2 linked regions of the Caenorhabditis elegans genome follow. The protein of the gene in region 1 purifies or fractionates together with the protein of each later gene. This does not show direct contact. Each region holds a gene or a part of one and is shown in the gene's direction. Other genes may lie near its edges.

Region 1 (7,486 bases):
GTGTCAACGTGACTCTCAATTTCGATGTCTCCCCGGGTAGCTGCACTTCAAAAGATAAAATGCCCAATCTATTACTATATTCGAACACCTTCCGATGGATCGAGCAATTCCTGAAGTCATTGACCACCAAGAATCGAAATGTTCGCCGAGGAACCGTATTTGGGAATCGAGTCCTGTTGAAACCCCAATTGAGCAAACACTTTGGAAAACTACAATTCTCATTTTCCCTTCCCAAGGTTCTAGTGACTTATTGGATGTCCCACTCATCACCTTATGGATTCCAAGTCTTCTCCGATGGCCTTCAGCTGACTTCCTCATTCCGTCAAACTGTATCACATTCCTCTGTGAACAGGGAAATGAATGTTCAACGCAGAAAAGTTTACTCCTGGAGTACCCATCATATGACATGCACCTGGTGGGCTACTCAGATCCATGTTTATGGTGAAACAAGCCGTCCACCAACTGACGGTAGCCCTTCCGAAGACACTTTTCTACTGGGATTCGGAAGAGTTCAATATGCGAGAGAAACATTCCCAGGGAAGGATGTACCTCTTCATAAGGTTACTGCGTTTGATTTGAAAATGGCCTGGACTGCTCAGAATCGAGATGCATGTCTTACCATTGCCGACGGGGTTCACAGGGCTCATATGTTGAGAAGAATTCTTAGTAATGATGCAGTGAAGCGACTAAATGTTCATCTGGAAGAAGCATCAGATACTCCAAAGGATCCTTCGCCAAAGAAAAAAGAGGAAAAAACCCATCGGAGAGGGTACAGTGTAACTGAGGCAAATCCCTGGATGCTTACTCAGCTTATAGATGAAGTAGGAACGAAGCTGGTTGCTCATTGTGAACAGGCGTCTGATGTTCCAATAGATTCACTTCTAGGAGTACATCAATCCACTATGGATGATGTGAAGCTTCTGAATTGGCAAATTGATCTTTTCAACAGTCAACTTGTCCTTAAAGGGTGTGAACGTGATGGTTTCTTACTCGTATGTGCCGCGAAAACTCAACTTCTTCAGAATTTCCACCGCAACGTATGGAAACGAAGTTTGCTTCTCAGCAAAAAATCATGGAGCGCCAAAATCTCTGGAATGCAATATTTTGCTCCAATTTCTGCGACCGGCACTAATAAGGAGAAATTCCGATGGTTGCCTAGAGAAATGATCGATGAGAAAAGTCAACAGGACACCAGTGGATTTGCTGACGATTTTGTGCAGAAGTTCACCGCAGCAGGAGAAGCCGTCGGTGGAGTTGTTCAGTCGGAGGCGCCAGATGAATCAGAGGAGAAGGTTCAACTTCAGCGAATTGTTTCTCGATGTAGCTGTCAGATTTATTTCTGTTACTTCTCCGATGAGCTGAAGACAGAGTCAAATGAAGATATCTCGGTGCCACCGCAATTAGATCCGAAACATCAGTCATTGAACCCTGACGCTGTTGGAATAGATGTTCTAACTTTGAAGCATAATATGCTAGAAGCTACAAGTAACTCGGAGCAATACGAAATGGTTGTGGATATTGTAAATAATTTAGCGCTTTTCGTGGATCCCTATAAGAAAGAAATGGGCGAAAAGCGAAGGAGATTGAGATTCGAGTGTCAGATAATGGAGATGGTGGAGTTGCGAGCGAAAATCATGAGATATCAATCAGAACTCAGAGAAATTGTTTCACTCGGAAGATTTCTGGAACGGCAGTTGTTCTACCTGAGCAACGGTAATTCGAATTCGATGAATGGTTCGCACTGCGAACAACCAGTTGAGTACACGGAAGATCAGCTCGTACTTGAAGCAGAGGATACAAAGCAACGAATGCTTACGGTATCTGAGAAACTTGCCACGTATATTAGTTGCTATAAGCAACGACAGGTCAATCGGGTGAAGGAGTTTGATGAGAAAAGTGCGAAGAAAGGGATGGAAGTTGTAAGGAGATTTGAAGTTTGCTTCGAAGATTGCACTTGGAAGCTGACCGAAAGTGATGGACAGATTGCGTTGGCACAGACGCAAATTCGAAATTTCCTCTATACACGTACAGTTAGGGATAGTAACTGTGGAGATCACCTGTTCGAAGTTGGAAGTGTCCGGATTACGAACCTCCTTCCTGATTCAATATACAAGCATGCTCTGCACAGAGATGAGACTAGACTCTCAAGGCAGCCTGCCATTCGACTATTCGTAAGAGATATGCCTCCTGTTGGAGGTATAAGTGTCAAAGAGCACTTTGAGTTGAACATAGCTCCCATGGTTGCAGAGATTACTCATCGATTATTTGATAAAATGATGAGATTCTTTTTTCCTGGCAGGAATATTCATACGAATGATAACCTGGATCATGAGGAAGAAGTTTCGGTGAGATTGTAACAGTATCCAATTAATAATTGTAATATTCATATTTCAGACCTTCTCATTCACACGAAAAATTGCCAGCACACTTAGCATGCGAAGCAATAAATCTGCGTCGGAGAAGCTTATGCTTCAGAAATCTCTTCACGAAAAGGATGACATTGATCGAATGAAGGAGCGCGCCGACAAAGTCAATCATTTTATGTATATCAAAATTCCGGAAGTTTCATTTGTAGTATCATATAAGGTGAGAGCACAGAAAGGAAATTGAAAATGAAATGAATGAGTTTTTTTTATAGGGAAACAAGGACAAAAACCTGATAGATGTGAACCAATTCAACTTCATATTCCCCCTCTGTGAATACCATGAGCAAAATTGGACGTGGCTCGACTTGGCGTTGGCTGTCAAGCAGCACTGCAAACGAGTGCTCGTACAACAGTTTATGAAGCAGAAATTGTTGAGAAATCGAATTTCCAATTTTTCTATCGATCCTATTCCACAGGGAGTCAGTGAGGATGAGAAGAAGCGGATAGCAGTGGGAATTGTAGGTTTTTGTTTCAAATTTTAAAGAAACTTGAAGAAAAATTTTCCGCTTTTTCTGATCTTAATGCTGACAAAATCTGATCTAATGATTACTTAATAATAACTTGTTTTTAAATTTTTATTTAAAAAAAAATCGATTGATTCCACTTTGCGCTCCGGGCTGAGTTCGCAACAAATTATCCGTATAAGTATATTACAGCCGAATTACGGTAACACAAAATTCTGTGAATATGTTTTGCGCAACATATTTGACGCGCAAAATATCTCGTAGCGAGAACTACAGTAACTCTTTAAAAGAATACTGTAGAGCTTGTGATTTACGGGCTCGATTTTCGAAATGTATTTCTATTCGAATAGTGACAGCAATATTCGATTGTAGTCTTCGTTACAAGATATTTTCGCGTCAAATATGTTGTTTAATACGCATTCTCAGAATTTTTTTTTTTTTTGAACACGGCCCGGCAAGTGGTACATCCATGCAAATGCGCTCTACTGATAATTTGAGTGTAGACCAGGTTTGGGCGCGTGATAACGAAAAAAGCTTTGGTCCAAAAAATTTAGAATTTAATTTCGGACATTTTTTATATGCATCACAAAAAAACTGGACCAACCGTTTTTGAGATACACGCGCCCAAACGTCCAGGTATACGGTAGACAAATTGCGTACAGGTACCACTTCTCGGGCCGTGTGAAATCTAAAATCATAATCCTTCTCCACTACAACAATCGATTTTTCCAGACAACATACGATCAAAAAACACTGAAAGCCCCGAAGTGACGCCTCGCGTCCGGCCACTCATCACATTCTCCGATTAACGGGTCAAGGCCAATCGATCTTCGTCTCGTCTTCACCTCCCCCCCCTCGTCCCGAGTATATTACTGCGCTGTTGTTTGTGTGCATTTGGTACCACACTACCACCACCCCACCATACCGCCTGTCCTATACATTTACCAAATGGTCACTGGTCACCTTTTACTCGGTTTCCCCTTCTTTCTCTCGTCACCCTCCACTCACTCACTTGCAGTTTGCCCTCTCTATCGCTCTATCCACGTTGCACCGTGTGGTTTATGTGTGCTGACGTGTTCTTTTTCTTCGTCTTCCCTCTCAGCACGGGTCATTCTCAGAAAACTCATCTCAATTGTTCCTGCTGGTAACTGTTTTGTATTTATTTCTTCATTTTTAAGGCTTTACTTTTTCATTTTTAAACATAAAATGTCTAATGTACTCTTATCACCATGTCTTTTCGAATGTGGTATTTAATTATTGTTATCAAACAATTCGATATTTCGCTTTTTTCTTACTATTGCTTTTCTTACTATTTACATTTTCTTACTATTGCTTTTTTTTAAACTTTTTTGCTCGCAATATAACACCATAATTTTTGCAGGTATGAAGTCGCTTCTTGTTGTGGCGGCCGTGCTCGCTGTCGGAGCTCTTGCTCAGGGAGACGATGCCAAAGGACCAAAGGTCACTGACAAGGTCTACTTTGACATGGAAATTGGAGGAAAACCAATCGGACGTATCGTCATCGGACTTTTCGGAAAAACCGTCCCAAAGACCGCCACCAACTTCATTGAGCTCGCCAAGAAGCCAAAGGTTTGCAGCTCAAGAAATCGAGTTTCAAAATATTTTTTTTAATTTTCAGGGAGAAGGATATCCAGGAAGCAAGTTCCACCGAGTCATCGCAGACTTCATGATTCAAGGAGGAGATTTCACCCGTGGAGATGGAACCGGAGGACGCTCTATCTACGGAGAGAAGTTCGCCGACGAGAACTTCAAGCTGAAGCACTACGGAGCCGGATGGTTGTCGATGGCCAACGCTGGAGCTGATACCAATGGATCCCAATTCTTCATCACCACAGTCAAGACCCCATGGCTCGATGGACGCCACGTCGTTTTCGGAAAGATCCTCGAAGGAATGGATGTGGTCCGCAAGATCGAACAGACCGAGAAGCTTCCTGGGGACCGCCCGAAGCAAGACGTCATCATCGCCGCTTCTGGACACATCGCCGTCGACACTCCATTCTCTGTTGAACGCGAGGCCGTCGTCTAAGCTCAAATGACTTCTCTTTTTAAATATCGATCTGTGATTCTCCTGACTTCAGACACCTGAATTAAAGAGTAATTCGAGTTTCTTTTTAATTTATCGACTTTTTTGTGCGTTTCCAATTAAATAATATTACAAAGTATGTATTGATTAACACTATACGAACACTATAAGAAAAAAGAAGCGAATAAAAAAAAAGAACAAATTAACTTTTTAGTCAAATTCTGTGACGTTTACACCGAGATCACGCATTGTAAAATTTTTATTTGAAGAGATTATTTGGACGGCACAGCGGAAGGCGGATTTGATAGATTTCATGTGGCTAACATCGCGTACAGTTCTGAAAATTTAGTTTTTAGCTTATATTTCAGTGATTAACAGTCAAACCGTGTTTGAAGTGAGACAGGAAATTGATGTTTTCTTTTTTGGTATTATGAATTATAATCAACCATCTATACTATTTTAGATGTTGAGTTGAGCGTGAACACAAAAAATAATTGATTCAAAATCAATTTTTAGCCAAAAACTGAATAATCTTATCCTCGACACACGGTCATTTTTTCCAATATTCACCTGGCTGTGTTGATCGCATCAAACGGCTCCTCAACGACAATCGGACTGTTGATGAGATCACGGGGGAGATTTTCCCGAGGAATGACTTGACCCGAGCGGATTGAAAATCCGAAATTAGTGAAATCGAATTCATTATAGTACTGAAAGAATCCGATGAGCAACTCTCCAAGCGACCACGTGTTGGGAGGACTTGCTGAAAATGGTTAAATTTAGTAAGACAGATAATAAAAAGAGCACTTCAAATTACTGGGCAACTTGTCCGCAATATCGCCAAACAGAAGAAGCTCATTAAGCGGAAGTTTTCGATCAAACTTGTGCGGGAACAAGTATTGCAAGTTCGGAATGACTGCTGGAGTGACACCGCATTGAAGATAGTGCACAACGAGAAGAATCGTCGTGTAACTATTCAGAAATCCGTCCTGTGCGTTATTGATTCCAGTAACCATCGCCCAGTGCTTCACGAGTAGGGCCAGAGCTGGGAGCCGGGCATCCGTTCTGAAAATAGAAACAAATCTTGCAAATTTCATAATTGCGTTTCAAACTTGGCACACATTTTAATTTTTTCGGTTACAAAATTGAAGATTTTATCTAAATTCAGCCGAAATTTTGAAATATCTGATTTTTTGTTGAGAAAAAAACTAACAATGAATAGTAATGAATGAGATGTGAATTGTATATTCCTGCGATATTATTAACATTAATATCAACCTCAATTCCATCAAATTCTCCATTCAAAATCATTTTCACAATTGGAACTTTCGCCGGCACCAGCTGCATTGTCTTGATTATCTTCTTCAGAGGATGGCTCCAATGCGATCTTCGAAACGCCTTATCAATTTTGCGAAGAATTTTCGTCGAATAATTTCTGTCGCAGTGAAAATCGTCGCATACTTGTCCTTTATATCCATTTGTCGGAAAGCATAGACAAAGATCCATGTCAGAGTTGAAAGATCCACATCCGTTCACTGTTGAGCCAGTTGTCTGGAGCTTGATCTCTGTGTCAGGGAACAGCTTCTTGATCTCCGAGAATAGCTTTTGACGAGCCTCCATTTTCTTGAGAAACACAAAATCCGGTTGTGCATTTCCCAGGTAGTGATCCCATGCCAATTTAGACAATTGTTTGACAGAATTGAACGACTTTTTGGTGATCGAGTTCACAAACTTCTCGACGGAGCCAGCGATCCGCTCGTTGAGCACTACACCGATGGTTCGTGCCTGATAATTGACTGGCAACTGGCGAACTTCTCGGAAAATTTGATGCGTTTGGTGGCCTGGAAATAATTTTGTATTATATATTTGAAAATGGAACAGTTGGGCGAGTGTCGATATACGCAATTCGTGTACTCCTCGAGGAGGATCCTACAATTTTTGATTTCGGAGCAATCTTTTTTGTGTTGGTGTTAAAAATGTATGATTTTTCGCCTTAAACGCCTGAAAAGTTGATAATTTTCTCTCAGGCCGATTTTGTATCTAACGTGTTTTCTGGCTCCTTGCAGTAACCACCTCGAATTTCAACAAAAACTGGGTACCTGTGTATTACATGTCATCCTTTTTAAATTAGATGAAATGTTCATTAATTTCTCCATTTAAATTTAATTTTGTATGCACTTTTCCTCTTTAGGCTAAGAAATGGTTCTTTCCTAAGCCTACAGATACAAAACTATGGTACACGTTTTTATTTTTTATAATTTAAAAATACTTTAAAAACGAGGACATGTAATACACAAGTACCAAAAACTGTAAGGTGAGGAATACATTTCTCTCAAACTGTACCATTGTAGATCTTATTCTCATCTGAAGAACTGTTGGGAGTCTCCACCGAAATCACTGTGCTTGAGACCTCTTCTACACCGTTTCCTTGATCCCCTGCCTCAATTATCTGAATATCGTCATCTTCAAGCTCTTCCAGTTCGTCAGTCTTCTCCTCCTCGTCATTTGCATCCCACTCGTCAACTATATCACCTATTTCGTCCTCAGAACCT
Region 2 (7,267 bases), 7.9 Mb from region 1:
GTTTCAATTAGATTTTTTTAGTTTTTTTAAAAGTGTATAACTTATAGTCTATAAGACGTTTTTCAATATTCCTTTTGCCACCTTTGTCAATTTTTACACAAGATGTTCCGAGAGACATTTAGGAAGCATAAGAGACCATACAAATTTAAACGCGTGCCAAGATTGTTGTCAACTACTACAGAATGAAAAATAATGAAAAAACAAAAAATTGAAACTCACAATTTACCCGTTTCAAAGTGTTCCAAGCAGCCAAAACGTATCAACAATTTTGATTTGCTCTGTAATATGTATTTTTAGAAGTAAGTGTTTATGGTCAAAGTCATAGTCCAAGCAGTTTATTTTTAAAAACAATTGGGTAATATTAATTTTCTAAATTTTTTTATTACTTCTCAACTCCATTATTCTAATTAACCCCATACTATCCACTTTATATTCCATTGGTGGTCATTTAATGGGAGTCCATGAATTTATAAACAAATACATCGAATTCAGGCAGGGGTGCACGAATTCTATGCCGTCCTCTTTCAATTCCCTCAGAATATCCGTTTCGTTTTCCATTTTTCCCATTTCACAACCACATGTGCCGCTCCTTCAGCTGGCGACACTAGACAGATTTTTTAGCGGTTAGATTTCGCGCATTTCGATTGAGGTTCTCTTTCCAAACCATCTGCATATTTTGGAAACCTTTCACCTACATGCTTTTCTTCTCTCATTTTATTTTATTGTTTTTCGAAACTCTATCCTTCTTCTGCTCTCCCATCTCTTTTCCTCCAGTTTTTCCGCAGTTTTCCCATAGTTTTCCGCCAAATTAGACGCAATTACTTTGTGGTTGTCTCTTTAGGCTCTTCGTCTCGTAAATACGATTGTCGGAAAGTTTGACAGAGTGTCTTGAATTTATACAAGCTCGGTGTTCTGTATCATGCTGGTAAAACTGACTGAGCTTAAAGCTTCACTCTACTTAAGTAGAGTAGCGCCAGTGAGGAAATCTTTTAATTATTTTCCTATAAGGATCTTATGTTCTTAATATAACCAAATACCGTATTGGAACTTTTCAAGCAATTTTCGAAATTTTTTTATGTACAGTCAAAATTGACAGGCACAGTTTTAACCTATTTTCGTTTTTGAAGTCGACTAAAATTGTTTTTACTTTTCTGCTTATTCCTCCCTCTATTCGTACTTAAAATAGTAGAGAAAAAAATTAAACATGCAATATGGCTCCAAATTTCTCAAAAAGTCGGAATTAAAAATAAATAAAAAATATTTGGAAACTTTCCAAAGGTTTGAATGGACACACTGTCAGTCTCAAAAATGTATCAAAATAATAGCTTATTGCAACTTTGAACATTAGTACATGTTACCTGAAACACACACAAACAATACTGTCAGCATTTCCAAACATTTCTCTGCAGCTCTTTCTCAGCGTGACACCTCTCTTCCTTCGCTTGTAATTCCTTTAGTCGGCTTGAAGCCTCTCATGCATTCAGAATAAGAGGCTTCTGAGCTGTGCTCATCCTAGTGCTCTCTCACCTCTCTTATTCTATTTATTCCCTTTTTCTTCTGAAGCTTCTCCCTCTATTTCTAGTTTAATTATTCCAAAGTGTTGATCTTCGGAGGCCTTTTGACACACACCTTTCTCTCTTGTTACTCTCTTTTTTCGATTTATGGGTTGCCAAACATTGTGAATACCGCAACAAAATCACCTCGTCTCATACAAACACATACAAATACCTACAAATGAGTCTTTGGCGGCATTATTCGATTTCGTTCATTTTTTCTCCTTTTTTGAGTCATTCTACATTCATCAACAGATTCTAGTAGAAATTATTACTGATCCAGCTGAGCTGTTTGAAAATTCAGAATGTAGAAGCCAAATTTAATTTGAAATTAAGGAAATTTATAAGAAACTGTGGATGTTTGCTTGAACATGTATAACCTATTTTCAATTGGATTATTTGTCAAAACCACCAATTGCTAAATAAATTAATACCATTGTCATTTTCTTTTCAAAATGATCTGCAAACACTGTCATGCATGTCGGTTCCTACATTCTCTATCCATAACCAACCAATTCGCTGCCTATTGACAATACTCGTATATATTAATGTTTTCAATGCAATTTGAGCTGTCCTGAAAACCAGTCACATCATCAACTGGTCAACGTCCATTCTTTTCCGTTTTAATCTATTTGAGCCTTCCCTCTCCTTTTTCTTTTCTCTAAAGTTCCGAAATTTTGGAAGACATGTATTTTTGTTTCTGTTTACGCAACTGCTTTTTGTCCTCATTTTACACCGTTTTCCATGATTTTTTGAAATTTTCAAACACTGAGGCAGTTGTGCAGGCTTTAAATTTTGCTGATGGCGGTATTTAATTATTATCGTTATTAAATTATTATTTTTGTCTAGACATTTTACATATCCTTGCAATTTTAAAAATTCTATAAAAGCTAGTTTTTGGGGAATTCTGCAAGATTTATTCATTATTTAATAAGGTGATTGACACTCTGCCACTATTGGCGAAATTTTTTGACAATATCGAATATTCGAAAAAATTAATGTATTCTTTAAGTTTTGTTTCTTCTCAATAGGGAACACAAAAAAAATCATTTTCAAAACAGACAAAAAAACCAATACTTTCATCAAATTTCCTAAAAGTCAAAAGTCAAACAAGTAAAAATTATCAAAACTGATTCCATTTTTGTACATTTCCCGTTTCTTAGTACCGAAAAAATTGGCACAGACTGATTGACAAGTAATTTTAAACCGGAAATAGTGTCAATTTCATTCGCATTTTTAAATTTCCGGTGAGGGATTGAAAGAGGAGGAGACGAATTGCTTTTATCCGCGCATTGTTGCATTTTGGCACAAACAAAGATAGTAAACACCTCTTCTATTTTCTATTTCTCAAGTACTTTTTTCTTTCAATTTTGTACCCGCCTGCCTGCCACTTCATCTGTGACTCATTTTTCATGCGATCGATCATTTTTGGGAGCTCGAAATGAATAGTAGACGCAGACAATTATTGACAAATACAGACATGTATAGGTCTTTCTTGAAATTTTGAAATTTCTTTCGTTCTAGTTGTGAATCATGAATTAAGAGATATCAATTCAGTTTTAAAGAGGGTTTAGGTTTTTTATTCATCACCGGATTTGTAATAAAAATGATAAAGAAAAAACAGATGAATTTTTTCTTTCATTTTGAAACCCTCTTCATTTTTCTAATTGATTGTTTTTTTTATATTTCAGATGCGGAACATGGAAGCTGAAAGAGTTCCCCTTCAAGAACTTGGTCATCGGAATGAAAAAATCAATGACGAAATTTCCATTGATTTTTGCAACGAACGATCAAGAATTCGCAGAAATAAAGCTGAAGATTCCACCACTTTTATTTTTAATTATGAGAAGTGAGTTTGAATTTATTTATTGAAAAATAGAAATTAATCTACTCAGTAAAGTTCAAAAATTCTTTCCGTTTCAGTGGGTCTGGTGAAACTCTCAACTGGAAGGAGCTTCGAAAACTGAAATCTGGAAAGAAATGGGGTGTAATTCGTCATCCATACATTCTGAATTACGTGAATCAAAAACTCATTGACTGTGCATTCTTTTATAGTCTTCACATTCTTGGTGAGATATTTGATTTAAGGAAATATCAAATACTTTAAATATTTCCAGCTTTTCTGGTCTTTTTTCTCCTACTTGCGTGGCACGTTTTCTCTAGAAATTTGTTCAAGGACTTTTTGATCACCATTTTTACTGGAATCTTTTTTATGTTTTTGGTGAGATTTTTCAAAAGTTTTTATCAATAAATCGTTTTTTAGGTATTAAAAGGAACAATTAAAGCAAGAATAACAAAAAGTGTTTCGACTTGGTTTATTGTTGCTTTTTGCTTTAATATCTTCACTTATATGGCAACATTAGCATATGTCTGGTTACCAACTGTTTTTGGATATGATGATTATCATTTGGAAGTCAAGGTTTTTTATTCAGTAAAATAATATTTTTAATATTTTTTAAAATTCACAGAAAATCGTCACCTGGTTCCTTCCAATCATTGCAATCATCTCTGCTTGGGCAAACCTTCTCTATATAATGAGAAAATCTCCATTTGGAATTTATATATTTATGATGACACGAATTTTGAGGAGTTTTGCGCATGTGAGTTGTTCTTAATTAACTTATTATGGGGCTCTTGTAGGAAAATTTTGAAAACTAATAACCTATATCACGAAAAAAAACTGAAAAATGGTTTACTGAATTTCAAAACAAAATTGATACCAAAACGTTTTTTGTTAGGAATTTAAGGTCGTTTGACCCCAATCCCAGTCCCAATTTTCGCCGCAGAAATAAAACTTGAAACAAAAGATGGAAAAGCTTGTGCAAGAGTTGGGCAGAAATAGGTTTATACTGCGCCTCAGTTTAAATTTTTTGGTTCCAACTTTTGCCAAAATTTTATTTAAACTTACCTTGGGTTTTTCTAACACGAGTAAGTTATTAGCAAGATTTGGCCAGAAACGTTGTCGAATCCAAAAAAAAGAATCTACCTAGTAACTTGCGCTTAATTTGGGCGCGGCAAAGGCGATGTCATTTGTGGGCAAAAAAAAAAGCTGAACCAGGATTTTATGATTTTTAGATTGCTACTATTTGGATACCAACTCTCATTGCATTTTCGTTTGCATTTCTACTAATTATGAGAGACACTGGTGTAAAACCTTGGCCATTGATTGATCAACAAACTGAAAATATGACAATGGTTCAAACAATGCTGGTTATTCTTCAAGCAGTCACTAAAACATCAACAATGATGATTGGAGAAGTTGATGCAAATGATATACTTGATACAAATCAATGGATTCCAAGTATTCTTGTACTTGTTTTTGAAATTATTACAGTAATCCTCCTGATGAATTTGATGGTGTCACTTGCGGTTGGCGATGTTACTTATTTGAACAATACAGCTCAAGATAAATTACTGAAGATCAAAGTAAATTTTGTAATTGAAGCTCTTCAAATCAGTGAACAATTTCAAAATGAAATGTTCCGACTTCACACAAAAAAGACACCAAATGTGTTAGTCATTAACAGCGACGGAACTTATATTTCGGAATTTGATGTTTTCCCACATTCTGCAAGTGTGGCCATTTCAGATGAGGTAATATTTTACTTTGTGAAACTTTCTGAACAATATATGGGGAAATTAATTACTAATTAACTTCATCTTAAGGCATTCAAAATCAGTTTCATGGAAACCGGAATGCGATTACGTATCAAGACATCAAAAGGACGTGTAAAGACAGCTACAGTCAGCAAATGTGACATTGAATGCATTGAGTCTACTGAATCTGGAATTCCAGTAATCGATTCTACTCCTGATTCGAGAATTTATGAGGTGAATTCTTATTTCTCAGTAATTCTCGATTGTACTAAAATAACCAAAAAGCATAGTAACAAGTTTCGAAAATACTGTGACTTTTTGTTCTAGAGATTGGGAAATTTTTGGTATTTCAAAAAATCAACAATTGCCAAATATTAAAAAGACCCAAAAACTAACTAGAAACTAGAAGGTGCATAACTTTAATGATTTAAGGATACAAGTAGCTGCTGGAACGGATATGCCAAATGGTTGATTGGTCTCGATTGGGCTGGATATTTGGACATTTGAGTTCCCCAAAATTCTTTAAAAACTGGTTTCTGTACTACCTTTACTGCTCCTTCTCTTTATTTCCCGGATTTTCTATTTTAAATTATCGATCTCACGTTGATTTAGACGTTTTTGTTTTCTTTTGACTTTTTTAAAATATTGTATTTTTAATTTTATAATTTAATTATCGTGAACTCTGGTAATGTTGGATCTCGTTCTTTTTTTTTTGTTCTCGAGGGAAAACAAATTTATTGTTACATTCTGGTGTGAGTTGGACGAGTTGAAGATTTCAAGTCTCGAGCAATGGCATCTGGTTAGTTTTAGTTATTCAATTTTGAAGTGAAATGTCGTCGGAAAAATGAACTCTGGCTTTCGTTGGTAATGCAACCCATTTTGAGCAAATCGGTGGATCGTTTTTTTCGCTGTAATTACGAGCCGCGGAGCAACCCTCTACTCATTGCTAGCCCTAATTCTGGTAGCTAAAACCGATTTTATGGTTCGGTATTTTTCAGATACGGTTTTAATTTTTGGGCTTCAGTGAGACACAGCTTTCAAAAACAAAAAGGGTCAGAGGTCCTTGACCAAAAGTGATCACGAAAACAAAGAATAGTATTGGAAAACTCAAAATTTGAAATCCCGAAACGGGGGCGCATAAATACCAAAAACTTCAATTTTTAATGCAAGAAACGTGATCCACGTTTTTTTTTAAATTTAGTTTTTAGTTAAAAAAAACCGGAATAACAGACAGGCTATTTGTATATTACGGGAACAATAAATTATGAGAATGCGTACTTGGTGCATTTTATTTGACGCGCGATATCTCTTAGCGAAAACTACAGTAAGAACTCAAATAACAATAGATATTTAAGCTCTTACTGTAGTTTTCGCTAAGAGATATCGCGCGTCAAATAAAATGCACCGAGTACGCATTCTCATGATTTATTGTTCCCGTAATACTTCAACTTTCAAGTTTTCAAAAAGTATGAAATAAAAATTGCAGAATATTTCTCAAGTCTTCAATACATCTGGCTGAATATCGTTTTCTTTGTCTTCTCTCTGTTTCTGTTTGGAGTTTGCCTCTACGCATGTCTTTTTGTAAGATGGGTTTACAAGAGAAGATTACGTCAAAAATCTGATGAGATGATTAATGCTTATAAAGACGAAGAGAATAAAAGAAAAGAAATGGAATTCAATATTAAGAGACAAGAGTTGGAACGTAAGTGAAAGGATGATCTTTTTCTCAAGATAATTGTATCATTTTCAGCGCCTGAGAGAAAGAGAAGAAGCTCATCGAGAAAAAATAAGAATATCCATATCATCGCCAAGCCTTGCAATCATGTCATAGAAAAAAACAGCAAAGAAGTTATTGTTCGTCAAGTCAACGAGGTTCCAAATGATGAAGTTGGATGTTCACCGATTCCTCGTCCTCTTTCTCAACCGGTTCAACCCATAAATCATGTTCAACAAGCTCCACCGCCACCTCAACAGATTCTAAATTTGCAGCAGCATTATCAGACTCAATATGTTTTGGTTCCAGTTGAAATGCTGAGAAATAAGAAAAGTTTGTTGAAATTGTTCATAAATGTTTTATTTTAAATGTTTCAGTTCGAAGAACTCGCTCAACTGACGTG

What was found.
Region 2: the proteins of cyn-5 (region 1) and trpa-2 fractionate together in Caenorhabditis elegans (co-fractionation; one large-scale study listed by BioGRID). This does not show direct contact.

What each region holds. Positions count from the first base shown.
Region 1 is NC_003279.8:15,038,060-15,045,545, reverse strand, and holds cyn-5 (Peptidyl-prolyl cis-trans isomerase 5), read left to right. Parts: upstream 1-4,271; 5' UTR 4,272-4,273; coding exon 4,274-4,480; intron 4,481-4,529; coding exon 4,530-4,937; 3' UTR 4,938-5,072; downstream 5,073-7,486. Other genes in the region: bltp-2 (FMP27/BLTP2/Hobbit GFWDK motif-containing RBG unit domain-containing protein), read left to right, coding at 1-2,345, 2,395-2,586, 2,639-2,884, 3,623-3,661; gldr-2 (PAP-associated domain-containing protein), read right to left, coding at 5,145-5,271, 5,505-5,697, 5,752-5,999, 6,148-6,775, 7,278-7,486. UniProt on the Caenorhabditis elegans protein: PPIases accelerate the folding of proteins. It catalyzes the cis-trans isomerization of proline imidic peptide bonds in oligopeptides.
Region 2 is NC_003279.8:7,179,809-7,187,075, forward strand, and holds trpa-2 (Ion_trans domain-containing protein), read left to right. Parts: upstream 1-3,244; 5' UTR 3,245-3,253; coding exon 3,254-3,402; intron 3,403-3,476; coding exon 3,477-3,622; intron 3,623-3,670; coding exon 3,671-3,774; intron 3,775-3,816; coding exon 3,817-3,972; intron 3,973-4,021; coding exon 4,022-4,153; intron 4,154-4,628; coding exon 4,629-5,147; intron 5,148-5,219; coding exon 5,220-5,384; intron 5,385-5,582; coding exon 5,583-5,657; 3' UTR 5,658-5,844; downstream 5,845-7,267. Other genes in the region: M05B5.3 (uncharacterized protein), read left to right, coding at 5,940-5,949, 6,637-6,852, 6,901-7,197, 7,242-7,267.